Linked DNA regions of Elephas maximus indicus. The protein of the gene in region 3 interacts with the protein of the main gene of each other region in a pairwise test. Links are inferred from orthologs where the notes say so. Each region holds a gene or a part of one and is shown on either strand. Other genes may lie near its edges. The genes, in order: VDR, CRABP2 and CCND3.

The links.
Region 1: the proteins of CCND3 (region 3) and VDR interact in a two-hybrid assay, tested with the Homo sapiens proteins (2 studies listed by BioGRID and IntAct). The link is inferred for Elephas maximus indicus from reciprocal best matches to the Homo sapiens genes CCND3 and VDR.
Region 2: the proteins of CCND3 (region 3) and CRABP2 interact in binary tests that used the Homo sapiens proteins (3 or more experiments, as listed by UniProt). The link is inferred for Elephas maximus indicus from reciprocal best matches to the Homo sapiens genes CCND3 and CRABP2.

What each region holds. Positions count from the first base shown.
Region 1 is NC_064822.1:102,720,854-102,725,193, forward strand, and holds the start of VDR (vitamin D3 receptor), read right to left. Parts: upstream 3,132-4,340; 5' UTR 2,948-3,131; intron 1,842-2,947; 5' UTR 1,748-1,841; intron 1-1,747.
Region 2 is NC_064821.1:194,450,296-194,454,635, forward strand, and holds the start of CRABP2 (cellular retinoic acid-binding protein 2), read right to left. Parts: upstream 3,291-4,340; 5' UTR 3,164-3,290; coding exon 3,094-3,163; intron 1-3,093. UniProt on the Homo sapiens protein: Transports retinoic acid to the nucleus. Regulates the access of retinoic acid to the nuclear retinoic acid receptors.
Region 3 is NC_064819.1:106,379,366-106,383,705, forward strand, and holds the start of CCND3 (G1/S-specific cyclin-D3), read right to left. Parts: upstream 2,880-4,340; 5' UTR 1-2,879. UniProt on the Homo sapiens protein: Regulatory component of the cyclin D3-CDK4 (DC) complex that phosphorylates and inhibits members of the retinoblastoma (RB) protein family including RB1 and regulates the cell-cycle during G(1)/S transition.

The DNA.
Region 1 (4,340 bases), on a different chromosome or scaffold from region 3:
GTTTTACTGCCCCATTGAGTTTTCTAGGCTGGAATCTTTACAGGAGCAGATTGCTAGCTCTTTTTCCCACAGAGCCACTGGGTAGGTTCAAACTGCCGAGCGCCTAACTGTTGCACAACCAGGGCTTCTTCCCTCTATCACTAGAATGACTAAATATTCGCATTTGCTCCAGACAGTTTCAGTTTGTCTTTTGTCCTGGCATACATATAAATAGCACCCCTTTCACTCTCAAAAGTATCCTCATTTGAATGATAAACTACATGGTCACTCTCTCTACCGCACCCAGGAGGGCACTGGCATGGAAGAGGGTTAATGGGAAATCGGGGGAAGCATAACTAGAAGAGAGGCCCTTGTGGTTCAGAGCAACACTCAGGCTGGCTTCAGTCCAGGTGGATCCTCTCAGAACTGGACAGTGGTGGAGGGAAAGCCAGACAGCTCCTACCCATTCTGGGGCTCAGACCGTCTTGGTCTGGTGGGTTCTGCTTCCTGCCATCCTTCAGATGGCCTAGCACCATGCTGGGTACACAGGAGGCACTTAATAAAATCTTGTCATTTCCTTTCTTTCCTCTACCTGTTCCCAAAACAGACTTGCCGCAGTGACAAATGGAAAGTTGGAATCCTATACTTCTCCCTGTCCAGTAAAGAAGAGGGAAACACAAACTGGAAAGTCATCCTAGCTCAGACTTCCAGGTCTTCCTGTCTCTGCCTCTCCAACCACTAGCACATAACTGCTGAACAGTTGACAACAGGAGGGTTTCCAGCAGAAGCAGATCTCAGCCAGGCTGGTCGCTGCCTCCTTAGGATATGGGGTAAAGAAGTGAACAACTGGAACTCTCTTTCTTGTCTTAGGTAAACACTTGGCTCTGGCCCACTGGACCTAGGCCATCCCCTAAGCATGGAGCACACTGGCTCAGGACATTGGTTTTGGACTCTGGCTATTTGTTCAGGAGTGTGGGGGAATCCAGAAGGTCCTCTTAGAGTGTCCTCTGAGACTTAGTCCAAAAGAAGATCAATTCTAAGGCAGAACAGGGGAAGAAGACTGAGAAACCATAAACACAAATAATCAGGGCATCCCAAACAGCACCCAGACCTTCCACAATATTTATACCAATAAATTGTAATAGTCTTGGCTGAAAAGAAGTGAGGGATCAGGAGAGCTTCCTAACACCCTCTCTTTCCTTTTTTCTTACCCCACTCTCCAATCCTTCTTTTAACTTGGTTAGAGTCCAACTCATGGCTGATCAGAGACCAGCCAAACCTTAAGCCATGGGCCCCAGCCAGAGCACAGACTGTGAATTCCCCAGCGTTTTTTTTTTTTTTTTTTTTTTGCAGTTTGAGTCAGCCCACAGGCTGGTTGGCCTCCATGATCCTTCTCCAACGGGTCCAGAGAGCCCACTGAATGGGGGCAATGGACCCTGGGGCCCCTATTTCTGCCCAAGGATCTCTAACACCCAAAACAAAAGCCAGAGAGAAATTTACAGTCTTACTACCTCCTACTTTGGCTGTATGCCAGTCCAAACCCTATTCCAGAAAGATCCACCATCTCCTCCAGCACTTGGACATGGAAGGGCTGGGGCAGATCCCCAAAAACACAACACTCTCAGTTTGTAGAGTTGAGGCTCCAATGTCCAGTTAACCCAACTCCACCTCACCAAACCACTCCCAGTCCCTAGCCTGAGTTAAAACCTTTGTCAACACCTTGCTTTCCCTAGTCCCAGAACCTTCCCAATTCCCCCTGTATACCTACCTCACCAGCAGGGATGAGCAACTAACAAGGTCACTAGGCAGAAATGGAATGACAGTCTGGACAAGTCTGCAATGCTGGGATGCACCTCCTGATCCTGGGAGAATGAAAAAAAAAACTGTGGATTTGCCTCAAAGTCACAATCCCTTCACAACCAACTCTTTCTGGAATCAGAACATCCCATCGTCATTGCTGTGTTGGGTGTCTGAACCCCTGACCCCTTCAATAGCAGCCAACACCAGCCATGAGGATAATAGCTTTCCAGCAGGGAGCTGGAGCAGAGCTGAACTCTGCCCAGGAGAGCTTCTGCAATGCTCAGAAAATGCCTGCCCAACTGCTTGCCTGGGCTCTGGCCCCTCTGGCTGCAACTGAGCCCAGACAGGAGGCTGACTCACTCACCACACAGAGGAGGAGGAAGAGGAGGAGAAGGAGGAGGAGGTACAGGAAGAGCTTGGGCTCAGAGACCCAGGGCTCCCCTAGCCCAGGCAGCTGGGTCTCAGCCTCAGTGGTCTGGGGCGGGGGGGCGATGGTCACTGCCCCTGGAGACCACAGGCTGCTCTCTAGAAGATAGTTCCCCCTGGATGCTCCTCACCTACCACCCACAGATGTGGGACCCCTCACCTCCTTTAAGCAGAAACTACTCCCTGAGTTCCCTCCTCTATTAATGCTGGCCCTTGAGTGTCACTCACTCACCTATGGGCAAGCTCTCCTGAAACAATAAATCCAGTGCCCTAGGGCTAATTAGGTCTGAAATCATTAGTGGTTTACAAATAAAAAGTCAGGAAACGAAATGGAAAAAAAAAAAAAAAAGCCCTACTTAAAAGACCCAACCCCACAGCCACAGGTGACCGTAAGTGGGCCCAACGAGAGAATAAATAAGTCGACACACTCCACCCCCAGAAGTCCTTCGCACCATCGACAGCCAGTCTCTCCCTTTCTTGTTCCTTCACTCCACGCCAAGGCACCCGGGCAGAGGAAAGAAACAAATGTTTCTTGTTGCCCAAGTGCTGAGCACTGTGCTAGCGAGGCATTCTGCGTTCATCTGCCAGAGCACCGGGGCACCGAGGAGGTCCCCGCTGCCCTCGCCAGCTCGGCATGAACTTCAGTCAGCTCCTTCTTAGCCTTCAACGCCCCTCAGTGTCTCAGTCTCATGGCATCACAGCCCGGCTCTCAGTCTCCAAAGTGGCCCCTACTTAGACTTACGACTTAGACTCGAGGGCTTGCGCTCGGGCACTCAGGCTCCGGTACTCCCGACGTCCCGTCCCAGGGCCTAATCTCTATTCTGGGACCCCCTTCCACGCTGCTCCCGGGTCCGCACCTGGTCCCGCGGGTGGACACGCTGCTCAGCGATCGCCGCACCTCGGGTTCGGTGGCTGCCTTTTGACAAGCAGAGCCAGCCCAGCACCTGGCCCCGCCCATCGCGCAGGCCCCGCCCCCGGGCCAGGCCTGGTCCTTGGCCCCGCCCGCCGGTCCAGTCCTCTCTAGCCGAGAGCTGCATCTGCGCTGCAACCATCTTGACTTGGACTCAACCACTGCACTGTCGCCTTGGAGATTCTGCTGTCCTGTAGCCCTCCATGCCTGCTGTCCCAGGGCTAGGCATGCTTCCGTCCTCTGTGCCTGGGAGATGATTTTGGCAGTTGTGAATGCGTAGGTCCACGCTCATGCCTTCGACAATCTGGGATACATCGCACACATCTCCTCACCCCCTGCTTTGGTTCTGCCCGTCCTGTCACGGACGCCTCCTCCAGGTGCGTCCCCCGCTGCAGACACACCTGGGCTGACCTGGCCGGGAAGTCGTTGTCCTCCGTGAGACGCTGGGGGGCGCCTGCTGACGGGCTCCTACTGCTCTCTCTGCACTCGTGGGAAGTCCAGGGTGCCGCTCGCCGCCGAGCTACTTTCGCCGGGCGCCAGGGAGCTGGATCCGACTCCGCACACTGGAATCAAAGAGCGAACCGGGCCAAAGTGGAGCCCGGAGTTGCATCGTCACCCCATCCCATGTTCCACGGGAACCACGTTCCTGGCCCCTTGCGGATCTCCTCCACGCGGGCTTAATCTCAGCTTCCTCGGTCCCTGGTCCCCGGTGCCCCCTTCCCACCGCGACATTAGTGTGAAGCGGAGGGAGGAGGTGAAGAGTACATCCTCAGACCTGTGGCTGCGGGAAAATTAGAAGGCCTAGTGGCGCAGTGCTTAAGAGCTCAGGCTGCTAACCAAAAAGATGTGCCGTTCAAAGCTACCAGGCTCTCCTTGAAAACCCTATGGGGCAGTTCTACTCTGTCCTACAGGGTCGCTAAGAGTTGGAAACACTCGATGACAATGGGTTTTTGAGCTTGGAGAGAAAATTGGCATACAAGATTTTGATTTTAAAAAGTTTTTCTTTTTTTTGTAATTTTTGACCTTACAATTTACCCTCTGCTCTGCTTCTCTGACTATATGCTAGGCATTGCTCTAGGTGCAGAGGAGAGAAGTGTGGAAAGGACGTGGTTCCTTCAGTCTTAGAGCTCACTGTCTAGTGGAAGGAAGGGGAAACGGGAGGAATGTGTAAATAAATAGTAATTACCACACAATGTGCTATAACAAAGGAGCCCTAGTGCTTCAG
Region 2 (4,340 bases), on a different chromosome or scaffold from region 3:
GAGTCAATCCCAACTCATGGTGACCGCATGTGTCACAGAGCAGAACTGCTCCTTAGTTTTCTTGGCTGTAATCTTTATGGAAGCAGATTGCCAGAGCTTTCTTTCTTCTACAGCATCACTGGGTGGATTCAAACCGCCAATCTTTAGATTAGTAGTTGAGCAGAAATTCTCAGCACGTGAAGATATGGAGCAGTTGTTTGCCTCTATAGACTGGCCAGCAGCCTGGGAAGCCAGACTCTCTGGAGTCAGAGCCATTAGACTGTGATTTCCTCCTGGCTCAGCCCCCTTACCAGCTGGGTCTCCCTGGGCAAATGGTTTAACCTCTCTGAGCCTTAGTTTCTTCAACTGAAAAATGAAACAATAGCCTTTTTCAAATGCCTATCAAATGAGATGGTGTGTGTTTAGGACCTAGCACATATGTGCCAGGTACACCTTTAGGATCTTGAGGAACAGTGGCTCTTTCTTGTTATTGTTGCTATCATTTTTACTGACAAAACGGAAGGCAAAGAGAAAGCCAAAGCTAGGGCTCAAAGCTCCCTGCATCAGACTCCTGCTCACCTGCGCTCCTGGAGGGCTCCCATGCCTTTCTCTTCTTAAGGGAACCCCCTCCTGCCCCAAAGAAAGGACAGAAAGGGACACTGCCTCCCACCTTACACCTCAGGTGGGCCCCCTCTGTGGGCTCCGAGCCCCTGTGCCCCCTATGCCCTCCCCCAGATTGGACCCCTTTTCTCTGTTCCCTAGTTATTAGGATGGGTGTGGGAGACAGGAGACAGCCCCTGTGGCTGGAAGACCAGAAGGTAGGGAAGCACTTCTGGCCCAGGCCCAGGCCCAAGCTCCACACCCCCGCCTTGCCTGGCCTCCTGCCCTGAACTGGAGCAGAACCCTCCAGGGAAGCAACAGGTAGGGAGAAAACGGCCAAGCTGGGCTGGGCCAGGCAAGTGGGGTTCCTCTGCTCCTGATCTGGCTCAGATCCCCTGGCCCTGGCTAGGCCCCCACCTGGTCCTCCCAGGGTGAAAAATATTTCAGACACAAGGGAGAGGGACGGGGAGCCCTGACTCTCAGGAGACCTAGGAACTCCACTTCTTGGCTACTGATCTCTTGGGGCCAGGGAGAACTTGCTCAGGTGCCCAGGCCCCACTGACTTGGTAAAGGAGACATACCCCACTCCATCTTCTTGGGCAAAGGAACTGCTTCACTCTCTGCTGCCTGTGAAGTCCATCCTCCTATCTAACATCCATCTTCCCTATTATAGTAGCAGTGTGTGCCATGAGCACCACACTGGATGAGACAGGTATCCCCCAAATATCTGAGCATCCCTCGTCAGGAGAGGGGTCCTCCAATGGGACAAATGGGAATGAGGAGACTGAGATTCCTGTGAAGGCGAGGCTGCAGTCAGAGGGGACATCCCTCCAGCCAGCCCCTGGTGCCTGTAGAATGGCGGGGGGGGGGGGGGCGGGGGGGCTGGCTCGGCTGGCCTTGGCTGACTCAGGACTGTGTTTGTCTAACAGGGCTGTTTTCAATCTGCTCCCTGAGCAGGGCCTGAGGAGGGCACGTGGCTCCGAGGGACCCTGCAGGGAGGCGAACAGACTGAAGACAGACAACAGGGTTAGGCTTTGAATCTTACTCTCCAGCTGGGGTCTGGGGGTGTGCCAGGCCACACCCTCATTCACTGCGGACAGGGGCCAGAATCCAGAGAAGATGGGGGACGAGGGAGTGGCATCTAGGTTTTCTGAAGGGAAAATTTCTATCCTTTTGTCTTTAATTTCAGAATAGGCAGAGCAAGGGCTGACGTGACTGCAATATGTATTATGGTTTGATGGCAGGGAGAACTCAGTGTCAAGGAACAATGGAAATCACAGCTCTACCCACAGCGTTTCCAGACCCTTCCTCCATCCAGACAAGCTTCTCCAGCTCCCTGCCCCACGTAGGGTGCCCCTCCGGCCCAACCAGGGTCTCTCTGTCCAGTCCAGAAATTAAAGCCATGGGAAGGTCCCTGGGTGACCCTTAGGTTCCAGGGCTCCCAGGCCCTCCTCCCAGTTGCTGGGTGTCTTGAATATAGTTCAACCGTCATCTCCTCCCAGACCAATCTCTCCAGTCATGGAACCCTGGTTCTTTCTCCCTCTCCCCAGATCCTTCAGCCAGCCTGCCACCCCCAGAAGTCTGGAAGGCTGGAAGGGCAGTCTAGGATGGTTCAGCTCAATTTCCCACACAGATATGCTGAATCAGAATCTCTGGGTAGAAATTCAAATTCTCAGCAGGGAGTTGAACCAGAAGGAACTGGTTCGAAGCCCTGGTTCAGCTTCTATTACCTTCAGACTAATGTACCCAGCTGGGCAGGAGCTTAGTTTCTGGGGATAAAGAAAGGAGGAAACTGGGATTTTCAGAAATGGGGGGGTTGGGGTTTTACACGAAGCCATTTGCTGAAACCCAAGAAAGTGATAATTATCCAGAGAGACTTCGGGACTCTGGGGTTGCTCCTGCAAGAAAATATTTGTCTCACAGAGTGGGGGGTGGGAGGTGGGGAGAGTAGGCAAAGTGGAAAGAGCGGAAGGATGTAGGGGGATCTAGGGCTAGGGCCAGGATCACTTGGTGGGTGCAGAGAGGTAATGAACCTGTGCCTGGCTGGGACTGGGGTAGGAGGAGGGGAGCGGGATGCCGGGAAGCAGGCTAGAATGTCTCTGAGGGGCTCAGGTAGGTAGAGACCCAGGCTCTCACCCTGGATGCAGGGTTTGCGGCTCTCCCAGTGGCAGCTTCTGAACTTCTGAGAGCCAGGTGTTCCTGGTCAGCCCGGCCAAGGCGCCAGAGGCTAGCCCCCTCACCTTACAGGGAAACCGACTTCGTGCTTCTGGTTTCTGCTTGATTCACAAGCTCTGAGTCACCGCAGGAGCTGGCACGGGTGGACTCCCCGCCGGTAAAAGCAGGATTTAGGCATCGGGGCCCAGTGTCCCCGAACCCAGGCGTCCAGCCCCTTTTCTTGGGGATGCAGGCGCCCAGCCTCCCACTCTCTCCTGATCTGATCCCTCTTTCTTTCTCATCCCACCTCTGAGGACTCTGGAGCCTCTCTTGCCCCTCCCCGGCGTTCGGAAACCTTACCCAGCGCTTTGAGTAAATCCTCGAAATTTTCCGACCGAATGATCTTCCAGTTGCCGGAGAAGTTGGGCATGGTGGTGGGGCGAATGGTGGTCCCTCGAGGTCCTTCGGCCGGAGCCCTGAATGCTCAGTCCTCTAGTAGAGATAGATGTTGCCGCCTTCGCAGGATGGCGAGACTCTCAAGTTGGATACGACCCAGGACAACTCCAAAGCCGACCCGGGCGCCCGCGCGGGCAGCTTTTATACCCCGCACGGGGCCCGCCCCTGCCCAGGAATGAGGTGGCCCCGCCTCCCATCCCGACCCCACCCCCCCGGGGGGCCCTCAGCCCGGGCCCTGCATTACCCTCAGTCTCCTGCCTTCTGGATCTAGCCCCCTGGATGGACCCAGGGCACGCTAAGGGCCGAGATAGCTTGCTCCATCGCTAATGGGTGAATAGGGAGGGAAGTGGAGGCAGGGGGAGCACTTCGATTGCCCGAGTGGAGGAGGCGCCGGGATCGGGGCATTTGCTCCCGGGTCCCAAGTCCAGCAGCCCAGGCCACAGGGACACGTCTTGCCTGTTCCCTACCCTTCCCCAATCTGACTCGGTGCACTCGACTTGTTGGCGCCGAGCACCCAGTGACCCCACCAGCCGGGGAGCGGGCAAAACCCTGGTCCTCATGCCGGCTCTGGGGAAGGGAATGAGCAGTCGAACTTCGGCTCCACCGAAGCCTGAACTGGGTCCGAAGGGTCAGCTCCTAATTCGGAGACCGACTGGGGAGCGTTGGGGCTCCGGGGTTAGGCACCCGGTGAGGCAACGGCGCCCCCTGCTGGAACGGCTCGAAGGGCTGCGAGGGGGCTGCACGCTTTCTCTCACCCCTTTCCTCCCCTAACCGCACACGGGTTCGGCCTGGGGTTGCGCCTGCGGACTCTGGAAATCCGAGCAGGGTGACTCATTCCTCTTAACGCGCTGACCGGACATCGAAGGGTTAAGCAGGAGCCCGGGGCGCAAGGCTGAGGAGGGCAGAGGTCACAGCCAATCACTTGACACGAGCTCTTTATTAAGGCGCTTTCCGCGTGGCTTCGCTTGCCAGACCCCCGAGGGAGTCGCGGTAGGCGACGGCGACTGGAGGTGGAGACAAAGGCGAGGAGCCCGGCGCGCCGCGCTACCACCTAGTGCCCAGAGAGGGGGCGGGGCAGGGTCTCAGGTGTCCTGAGCCGTAAAATGGGCGGAATAAGCAGCTCTGGGAGCGGCTTTGAAGTGGGAGATCAA
Region 3 (4,340 bases):
GGAACATACCGGGCATACATGTTCCCTTTGTCATCTGCTGTACCATCTGCCTGGAATGTTCTTCCCCCAGATATCCACATGGCCCACTCCCTCATTTCTTTCAGGTTTTAACTTAAAAGTTGCATTCCTCCTATAGTCTTTTCTGGCCACCCTGTCTACATTTTTAATGCTCCTGCTCCCCCAACCCCGCATTTGCTATGTCCTTTTATTTTTCTGCTTACCATGAATAATTAACACACTATATACTTTACTTACATATTCTGTTTATCGTTCGTCCCTCCCACCACCACCACCACCACCACAACAGAAGCTCCTGGAGGGTAAGGGTTTTTTCCTTCTGCCATATCACCAGAATGGTGCCTGGTTCATAGAAGGTGTTCAACAAATCTTTTTTGAATGAATCAATGGATGACTGGAACAAGAAAAAAAACTCAGCACAAGTCACATGATAAATGGCCATTCTGGTACGGTACGGGGGTCAGTGGGAGACGTGGGGGGCTGGGCACACTGGACAGTAGATGCTCCAGTCAAAGCCAGGAGGGGCTGCTCGCTCAGCCTGTGGCTGTCCTAAGTGTTGCCCTCTATTCCCCTTGTTTCCCAGAGAAAATATTTCTTAAAATATAACATCTCCATTACTTCAGTTAAAACAAACAAGCTCTGCACAAGCCACACACAATGTTCCATGGGCTGGATCTGACCTGTGGGGAGTATTTTGCAATCTCTAGCTCGTAAGTCGCTTATGAAAAGAAACCTCAGGTACTGGCTTCTAAACCTGCCAACTCTCTCCTCATAAAATTAGAACACACAACCTATATATTTACATGTTTACTTTTTCTCCCTTTTTCTGGTTGGATTCTGAATAAGTGAGGCTTTCCTGTTCTCTTATTCTGTCTGAGACTCCTGGTCCACAGCTAAAGGTGAGGTAAGTATCTGGGCCTCAGGTGTAGTAGATGGGTAACCTTCTTGAGCAAAACACCTGGCAAAAGAGAAATCCTCTTTGGGCTCTTAGCTGGGAAGCAAGGATCTCTCACTCTAGGGATGAAAAAGCCCTGGCATCGTTTCAGCACAGTGGCTAAATAAGTGAGCTCTGGAGTTGGGTTGATGCCCAGCTCTCCCATTTGCCAGCTGTGTGTTCTTGAGCCAGTGACTCAAGTTCTCTGTGTCCCAGGCTGCTCATCTGCAAAATAGGGATAGTAACAGCACCTACTTCACAGAGTGGTTGCGAGGATTAATATGGCAAAAGCACCCACAATAGCACTAAACCAAAAACCAAATCCACTGCCGCCGAGTCGATTCCAACTCATGCCAACCACGTGTGTTACAGAGTAGAACTGAACTACACAGGGTTTTCCTGGCTATAATCTTTACTGAAGCAGACTGCCAGGCCTTTCTTCTGTGGCACCAATGGATGGGTTCCAACCATCAACCTTTCCGTTAGTAGTCACATGCAAACCGTTTGTGCCATCCAGGGACCTACAATAGCACTAGGCCCATAACAATGCTCAGAAAAGGGAGCGGTGACCATTAATAGTTCATATGTATCAGGTGCTGTCCTTGCCCTGGGCTTCGGAGCAGAGACCCAAAGCCTCCCTGTTAAGAGCTGCCAGTCTAAAGTGGATGACTATGATGAGCCTGAACACGGAGAAATCCTGTAATTGTCACTAAGACATTAAGTTTTACTCACATGAAAAGATGCTCAACATTATTAGTCATTAAAAAAAAAAGTGTAAATCAAAACCACAATGAGATACCATTTCACACCCACTAGGATAACTATAATAAAAAAGACAGACAATAACAAATGTCACTGATGCTGGGAATATAAAATGGTACATCCCCTTTGGAAAACAGTCTGGCAGTTCCTCAAACAATGGAACTTAGAGTTAACATAAGACCCAGCAATTAAACTCTTAGGAAATTATCTAAGAGAAATAAAAACATATAGCCAGCCAAAAACTTGCACATGAATATTCATTAACAGCATTATGCATAACAGTCACAAAGTAGAAACAACCCCAGTGTCCATCAACTGATAAATGGATAAACACAATGTGGTATATCCATAGAGTAGAGTAAAAACCCAAACCCAGTGTAGAGTAGTACTGGGCAAAAAAAGGAATGAAGTAATGAAAAAAAAAGACACCAAATTTTTTGCCTGGGACTTCCCAGCACCCACCAGGGTTAGGGGAGCTGGTTTTTATGGGATGGAAACGATGGCTACACTGGGAGTGGTGGGAGTTGGTGGTCCTGGTCACCTGAAGTCCAGGAGGCAGCCCATGATGGAAGAAGTGGGACTGTAGGAACTCAGAGAGTAACTGGGGCATAGGGAGCAAGAGGCAGAAAGGGAGCATCCCGAAAAGCTTAGACAGTGGGGTCTGGAGTGGTGTGCCCCAACTATGGTACAACTCCCCATGGTAGTACACCAGAGAATTTCAAGTAGTAACAGTAATAAGTTACACTTGCTTAGTGCTTTCTCTGAGCCAGACATTGAGAACTTTACCACATTTACTTATTTAAGCCTCACAAAAACTCTATGAGGTATAGGTGCTATTTTACCCTCATATTACAGATGAGAAAAGAGAGACATGAACAGATTAGGTATCTCATCAAAAGCCATAGTTAGTAAATGGCTCTGTCTGAGTTTGGGCTGCCCCAACATAGACCCTGATACAAGGACTCCAGTGAAGTAGTTTACTTGGGAGGTAATTCCAGAAAGCACTGGAAGGGGAGTGAAGATATGAGACAGGAAGGGAAGGAAAGCCAGTAGAGAGTGCGTCATTAAGTAAGTTACCATGTGGGCAACTGGAGCTCAATCCTGCTGCGGAACTCTGGGAGACAATGAAGAACACATGTCTTGGAGTGCATTATTTAAAAAAAAAAAAATATATATATATATATATATATAATTTAGACTACCCATACCCATTGCTGTAGAGTCAATTCCAACTCATAGCAACCCTACGGGACAGAGTAGAACTGCCCCATAGGGTTTCCAAGACAGTTAATCCTTAGGGAAGCAGGCTGCCACATCTTTCTCCCACAGAGCAGTCAATGGATTTGAACTGCCAACCTTTTGGTTATCAGCTGAGCACTTAACCACTGTGCCACCAGAGCCACTTATAATTCAGGTTAAAGGGGAAAAAGTGACATGATCGCAACAACAGATACAGGAAAAGCATTTGATAAAACTCAACATCTGTGGATAAGAAAAACTCTTCACTAAGTACGGAGAGAAGGGAACTTCTTTAATATAAGACATCTACTAAAATCCTAAGGCAAATATCTTAGTGATGATACATGGAAAGTAAACCAGGCAAAGATCCGAACATGACAGGCCAGTGAACAGAACTTTCAGGACATTGGCAAAGGCTGGGAAAGACCAAGAGGTGCTGGTTCCTCCCTGACCAACCTGGCCAGTCCTTTCCTGGGACTAGCAAGGCTATCATCTTCCCATCCCACCCCTTTCTAGGCTTGTACATTTTTATGAATCGTTCCATCTTTCTTTAGAGTTCTCAGATTTTAAACCCTGGTGCCATCTTGGATTTCTCCCTTCTCTGGTTCCCTGTATCTAATCAGTTTCCTGGCCCCAAAAAATGACTCCCTGAAACTTACTTAGATCCCATCTTTCCTATTCCTCCATATGGCTCTTAGCAAATGTCTCAAAATTTGCCATCAAAGTAAACCCTTTACAACAGGGAAGGGGGAATGAATCTCTCTGAGAAATTCGGTAGCATAATCTAAAATTACCCTCTGCAAACCTGAAATTTATTTGAAGTCTAATATTCTGCCTTAGAAACTTATACAGGTTTCAGGCTCTTATCCATAATATAGCCACCATTATTTTAATGTAAAAATAATGGTTTAAATAACTTACAGCTAAAGGGAAACTGAATTCCACAAACCATGTTTATTGTATACACTGGCAGAAGGAATTTTAGGGGTTTTCAAACCCTAGTTTGAAAGGCCAGCCTACATTACTATTGCAAAAGCCTCCCAGAGAGCCGCCCAGTCTTCACCCTTTTTCCAGATCAATCTAGATCAATGGCCCAGAGCCATCAGATTAATCTCTCTCAGACACTCCTTTCATCTCCAGTCCAAGGACCTGCTTATCGGGTCAAATTTAAAAGTCAACCAGCTTGGCTTTCAAAGTTCTCCATCAAGAGGCCCCAGACAGCCTATTCAATTTTATCTCAGTTCCAGCAGTCCAGCCTACCTCAGGGTCTTATCACCCACCACTGGCATCCTGCTCCTTTCTCTAAATCCAGCCTCTTCCCTCAAGGCCTAGCTCATGACCCACCTCTTCCATGAAACTTCCAGCATTATAGGATTAAAGGGTCCAG